Saccharomyces cerevisiae S288C: one gene and its partner. Changing the gene in region 2 together with the main gene of any one other region gives a genetic interaction. Each region holds a gene or a part of one and is shown on either strand. Other genes may lie near its edges.

What was found.
Region 1: mutations in CTF3 (region 2) and MAD2 together harm fitness more than expected from each alone (negative genetic interaction), as found in Saccharomyces cerevisiae (8 studies listed by BioGRID, with this or other methods).

Annotation. Positions count from the first base shown.
Region 1 is NC_001142.9:385,654-388,822, reverse strand, and holds MAD2 (spindle checkpoint protein MAD2), read right to left. Parts: upstream 1,167-3,169; coding exon 576-1,166; downstream 1-575. Other genes in the region: VPS53 (Vps53p), read left to right, coding at 1-438; Rab geranylgeranyltransferase BET4, read left to right, coding at 1,385-1,387, 1,475-2,455; RNA-dependent ATPase HCA4, read right to left, coding at 2,674-3,169. UniProt on the Saccharomyces cerevisiae protein: Central component of the spindle assembly checkpoint which is a feedback control that prevents cells with incompletely assembled spindles from leaving mitosis. Thought to be recruited to unattached kinetochores by MAD1.
Region 2 is NC_001144.5:877,638-881,399, reverse strand, and holds the start of CTF3 (Ctf3p), read right to left. Parts: upstream 1,678-3,762; coding exon 1-1,677. Other genes in the region: CSR1 (Csr1p), read right to left, coding at 1,892-3,118; YLR379W-A (uncharacterized protein), read right to left, coding at 3,684-3,762. UniProt on the Saccharomyces cerevisiae protein: Component of the central kinetochore, which mediates the attachment of the centromere to the mitotic spindle by forming essential interactions between the microtubule-associated outer kinetochore proteins and the centromere-associated inner kinetochore proteins.

The DNA.
Region 1 (3,169 bases), on a different chromosome or scaffold from region 2:
GCTCCTCTGGATTCCGCTGATGACTATTACGAGACCTACTCCAAATTGACCAATAATAACCCTGATTCAGCGGTATGGTCTTTTGTCCTCGCTTTAAAGGGCATTCCATGGGACCTGGCATTATGGAAAAAGCTATGGAGTGCCTACAACTTAGAAACAGACGACACTGACGAGGGCAGCAGGCCAGACAGTAATCGCGATCTTTTCATATTCAAGTGGGACAAGGTACTTTTGGGTCAATTTGAAAACAACTTGGCAAGGATGCAAGATCCGAATTGGTCAAAATTTGTGAGGCAAGATCTGAAAATATCACCACCTGTTATGAAGAGGATAGTATCCACCCCTCAAATACAACAACAAAAAGAAGAACAAAAAAAGCAAAGTTTGAGTGTCAAAGACTTCGTTTCTCACTCAAGGTTCTTTAACAGAGGCACTTGAAAAAACGCATGAAGTGGTTTACAGAGGAAGTACGTAGTATAGTATAATATAGTTCATAAATCTATATTCTTTCTAAACATCGAAAACGAGATTTTTTTGGACTTCCGTCTTTTTTTTTTTTTTTGACTTGAATTCTATTAATATTTATAGCTGACCTGCGCACCAACTTTATGATCGTTGGTAGAGAATGTTTTGAATTGAACTACTTCACCATCAGGTATCTCTTTACTATTGGAGTCGGCCCATTCTAACGGAACTTTAGCATCCGCGTCTGTATATGCAAGTACTGTGAATGTGTACCCACCTTCTTTTGTTAGTTCGGGCAGAAAGGTAACGCTTGAGGTGATTTGCCTGATTAAAGCTCTGATTTGTGATTGTGTTGTATTTAAATCTACAACATCATCCTGCCCGTTGCTATTGCCAGAAATGTGTTGCACATTGAAGGACCATCTTTCCACCACCTCTCCCTCATCCTTGTCTACAATACATAATACTAATTGATTGCATTTTCCACCAAGAAGCCACCTGTGAACTTGTAGAAGAATTTTCCGAATGTAATCTTTCAGTTCATCATCATGTGTCTTTAGTAACGTAAGATCGTACTTTTTCACCGTTACGAAATCTTCTGCTGGGTATACGCCTCTTTGGTACAAAATGGAATTAATGCTGTACTCGAAAAATTCTGTAACTGTCCTTGTTGAACCCTTTAGTGATATTGATTGTGACATTAAATGTGCTATTGGGCCCCTTTGAAGTGGTTTTCAATACTCTTGTACGAGTATTTAACATCAATCATTCTTCGGGGCGATTTCTATTCTTGAAATGTTAAATCATAAACCATACGTAAACATTTGAAAAAAATTAAAGGCAAAAAAGAAAAAAACCACATTTTTGAGCCACATATACCTAGTATACTGAATTTATACTATAAAGCAGTAGGTCAGCAATGGTATGTGCACTTCAAATGTTCGTTACATTATGAATTCTTTTTTTTACTGACTACCAAGCAATTTTTTATATTTGCCACATTAAACAGCATGGCATTAAAAGGAAACAGTGGACCAAGGAATTACTGAGACAAAAGAGAGTTCAAGACGAAAAGAAAATATATGATTATAGAAGCTTGACTGAAAATGTTTTGAATATGAGAGATGAAAAAATTTACTCAATTGAAGCTCTGAAGAAAACATCAGAACTTCTTGAGAAAAATCCGGAATTTAATGCTATTTGGAATTACAGAAGGGATATTATAGCGAGTTTGGCTTCTGAGTTGGAAATACCTTTCTGGGATAAAGAGTTAGTTTTTGTAATGATGCTATTGAAGGATTACCCCAAAGTCTATTGGATATGGAATCACAGACTTTGGGTCTTGAAACATTATCCTACGAGTTCCCCTAAAGTGTGGCAAACTGAACTTGCTGTCGTGAATAAGTTATTGGAACAAGATGCAAGAAATTACCACGGATGGCATTACCGCAGAATAGTTGTTGGTAACATAGAGAGTATCACTAATAAAAGTCTTGACAAGGAGGAGTTTGAATACACAACAATAAAGATTAACAATAACATTTCAAATTATTCTGCATGGCACCAAAGAGTACAGATCATAAGCAGAATGTTTCAGAAAGGAGAGGTTGGGAATCAAAAGGAGTATATTCGGACTGAAATATCTTATATCATCAACGCTATGTTTACCGACGCCGAAGACCAATCCGTATGGTTTTATATCAAGTGGTTCATTAAAAACGACATTGTTTGTAAAACTCTGGACGAACAAGAGTACCTTAAAATGTTGAAAGACTTGAGAGAAAACATTCTGTTAATAAATAATGACGAAATTGAATTTTCCGGGAAGCAAAATATTTGGTGCTTGAAAATTTTATTAGTTCTCGAAGATATTCTGGAAGAAAAGGAAGCTCTAACGGAAAGAAGCTCGGAACAATATTTGGTCCAATTAATAGATGCGGATCCGTTAAGAAAGAATAGATACCTACATCTCCTGGAGCAGCATAAGTGATGATATACATATATAAACATATATATATATGTATATATGATGGAAGCCTGTTCACTATAAGCGGGATTTCATTTGACACCTTCAATGCACGAAAGTATATGCATATTTTTCTTTTATTGTAATATTACCGATGATTTGAACAAAGAAATAAGTATATTAGTGTAGAGAATAGATGTATACAAGTTCTAAATACTATAGGTTAGACTATGCAGGAGGGTTTAACCCTGGATTAATTTAGCTGTCAAAGATTCCAAATCCTCCAAAGTTTGTGGTTCTTCCACTTCAATAATGTCATCATCAACTGAATTGGATGGATTGTGGCCGTGGGAATAGTCAACAGTTCTAGCTTTCTTTTTCAAGTGGCCTTCCGAGTCAGGCATATCACCGTCGCTCATATCATCGCTCAAGTTTCCTGTTCCTAAATATGCTACTGTCTTCCCTTCTTCTTCATCTCCAGAAATTTCTTCTTCCATAGCAGCCTCCATTTCCCTTCTCATGGCTTCTAGTCTTTTTCTCTTCTTCTCTTGTTTTTTTTCTTTAGCCACCTGCTTATCAATATTGTCAATGTCTGCCATTACTGCAGATTCTTTAGTTAAAAATTCTGTCTTTTGTACCTCCGCATCACCTCTCTTATGAAATTCTTCTTCATCTTCAAGTTCATAAACTGGATGGGCTTCGCCTTCATCATCAAATATTAATTTGCTAGCGTTACCC
Region 2 (3,762 bases):
CCTGCACGCAGCTGATAATAGCAAAGGATCGTCCGAACTGAACACTTTATTCATGATGTCAGGGCCCACAATCAAATATTGGATCGCATAATCCGACTTCGTTTGTTTCGACAGTTGAGTTAAAATATCTAACGAGCTGATGAAAGCCATCGTAGAAAATCTGTTTGAAGTAGCATTGTTAAAGATTTTGTCCAAAGTTAGCAGGCTTTGCATGTCATGCAGTAGTGTCAACCCGAGTGCTATCAATTTATCATCTAAAACCCAGTTTGTAATCATTTGTAAAACGTAAAAACAAGTTTCAGAAAATGTGCAATTATTGTCGTGACCATCTCGTGTACTCCACATAAAAATACTGGCCATAAACTTAACGAAAAATTCCCTTGTACCACTGATTAGTTCAGGCTTCCATAATGGCAAGATTCCGCCACAAACCTTTTTCAACGTAAGCTCATCGAGTTTTAAGTATTTCAAATTACAAAACGTTTGAATAATGCGAGAAGACAGTTTATTATCCATTGAGGACACCGAAATAATAATGGGAATAACTTCTTGCGGAGTCTCTATCTGATGTGCAAAGCATCGCTTCAATTGCCAAATGCACCATTCGTATGGTGATGACGACTCATCGCGGCTATTTTTAATGAGAATGATACTAGAGTACAAGTGTTTGAGAGAATCCCTAGACATGACTTTTCGCGGCAGTAAAACATTGCTGTTTAAAGATGGCTTCATCATGTAATCTACATCATTGGGAATATGCAATTGTGGCCAGTTTTGAGCTAATTGTTCCAATGAAGTGACATCCCAAAGAGAGACCGTACTGTCAGAGGGAACATATTCTGGAAGTGATTGAAGTCGAAGTGGGTATATAGAATCAGCACCTAATTGATGAATTTCACTCAAGTACATGTCAATTGTGTTTTGGACAGTGTCAGCGGGAAAATTAGCGGGATGTGCTCTGGATAATATTCTTTTCAAAATGGATAGGAAATGCGCATCCAATTTTAAGTTTCGATGACTTTTCAAAGTCTTTCTATTGCAATTGATGGTAATTATTGATTCAGTAATCTGACTGGATGCGCCCACGAGACATTGAAATCGTTGCAAAATAAGCGTCGCACTACCGGGAGCGTCCCGGTAACCTGGATGCATAGCGCATCTCTTGATAATAGACAACTTCCAAGGTTTGACATCAACGGGCGTCGTGGCTTGCCAAATAACCAGGGGAGTTATCCACTTCTGTAAGAACGAGAATTGCCATAAATGTAACCAGATAGAACTGGATATATTGTGTTCTCGTTCTGAATGTACAGGAAATAGGAAATAAACATGCACTAACCATTTGCACAACGCAGATTGTAGGACCGGAGGCGTTTGTATGCGATATCTAGAGAATACCGTTGGCGTACCGAGATGGTTAATAATCTCCAAAAGAAGTTCCTTCGTCAAGTAGCCATCAGGTAAAAAGCAATTTTCGACGATGTACACTTTTGTAACTGTGTCTATTATGGAAGTTTCACAGAGTAACCTTACAAGTGCTTGTAGTTGCGGCGAAGAAAGACCATATTGTTTTGATTTTTCGTATAGCAGGCTTAAAGTGGTTTTAAGGGCCTGTGGTGGCGTTCGTTCGTTAGCATTCGTTAGTGAGAGGATGATATCATCTAGTATAAGACTCATTCATGTAAAAAAAACAAAAATTGAAGGGCGAACCGTATTAGCAGGCGTATTGTTTTTCATTTCATAGTTGATTGTTTTTGATAATAAATGATTCTATAATTTTTCGCGTATTATACAAATAAAAGTAAAAGAAAAATAAGATAGAGGGACATATAAAGAAATAGATGTTTTTATAATAAAGGTCTATACAGTATGGAGCGTCGCGTGGCTTGGCTCAAACTTTTAGAGAACCATTGTAGTCATAAACGGATCTTGATCTGATGTACGGATCTAACTTGGAGTAGTTTTCACAAAGAGCGGTGGAAAGTTGTACTCTTTTCTCCTGCAGTTGAATGTATGCTGGATCGTTCAATGGCTGGTGTTCAATCCATTGGGCAGTGACAGTCAAGAATTGTTCGACCAATTCTTCTCTCTCCTTTTCGATCATAGCGCGAGTCTCGGTGTCTTTCAGATGGACGTCCAAAGAGCCATCTGGTGGAGTGTAATGATCCAAATCATTGTCATTTTCTCCGCCCAGATACCTAGGGATGTATTGGGGTTGGATAAACTTGTGCAATTCGTCGATATTCTTAGTGAAAACAATCTTGGACGCGACGACCGGATCCAGCCAATTCTTGATGATGTTCCAAATCGGGTTAAAGATCCAAGGGGCCTTATGGATAAGTAGATGGCCCAAAGATTCCGGGTAGTGAGCCTCAAAACAAGTGATTAGAAACTTGACGGGGGCATAGTCCATATTGGACATGGAGAACCCGTTCAGATCGAACAAGATGGTGGTGGATGCGGGGTAGTTTTCTTTGAAGAAAAGCTTTGATTGCTCGATGACCAACAGGGAGAATTTTTCCAGCTCCTGTTCAGTTTGGTCGGAAGAATGATGTAATCTAGGTCTCACAAGGATGACTGGCCTCATGTCATTGTCGTAACCCTGGATGGTGGCCTTTTGCAATTCCAGGTTCTTAATGACACCGGTCTCGTTATTCTCATACACAGCTCTTTCGCCACCGTTTATGATCTTGTTAATAGTGTCCTTGCGCCAGTACAAATCGTGACCCAACATGGCGATGGTCTTGTCTGCGTTCCACTTTCTGGCTCTGATAAACTTCAAAATGGTGGCGTCTGGAGTTTCATTCTTGATATCGTGCCAGAACTGCTTCTTGGTCGTTTGCGGGTCTAGATTGGCTAGTGCCTTGTGTATCTTGCCCTTTTCATAGAGGTGTGCCGCTTCAGCGGCTTCGCTGGAGTCCTGTGTATGGTCTGAGGACTGAAGCTTGCTAAACCAGGATGATTTCTTCTTCTTAGCAGGGGTGGACGAGGAGTGGAGGGAGTTATTAGGGAAAATATGAGTTCCATCCACGGGAACTTGCCACAGATGGAAAAGGTGTGTCCAAATTTGCTTAAGGACGACCTCCTGGTCTTCGGTCAACTGTCTATCAAAGGACATAATCTAGTTTATATGTGGTCTTCTTATGTGCTTTTGTGCTTTTATGCTTCTGTGTGCGTACGTATCCGTATATTTGTATGTTTGATTTTGTTTAAAGGAGCGTAAGTGACAAGTGCCAAGATTTAAAGAGCGTACCAAACGCTATTGTTTTCACCATGTGAACAAAGCTGTAACGATTTTATGTACGTACGCAAGAGGACGATGCCGATTGAAGGCAGGAGCTCAACAAACACGAAACAAAACAACGAAGAAAGAAAAGAAATATATCAGAGAACAGAGACCGCCTCGTTTAGGGCCGCACGTATACCGCGCACTCTTGGGACGCAGGGACGCGATGGCCTTGCCATGTGCAAGATAAACAAGCTGTCAACGGCACAAGTAGCGTTTATTTGAGACCTGCTTGCTTTAGCTTGCATCATCTCTTGTTCTTCTTACAGTGGTCGCCTTAGACCATCCCATTAGCCAGTTCATGGCCAACTCTCCGTGTGACATGACGAGTGGTTTTCCCGAGTGGAAAGGTTCAGAAATGCATCTGGATTCCGATGGCATACGGTAATTGCCGGCATTATAACACTGTACTACCGAATCCGTCGTTCGTCACCATATTAATTTTCACTCTTGTTGCAGTTATACCGCTATAAGCA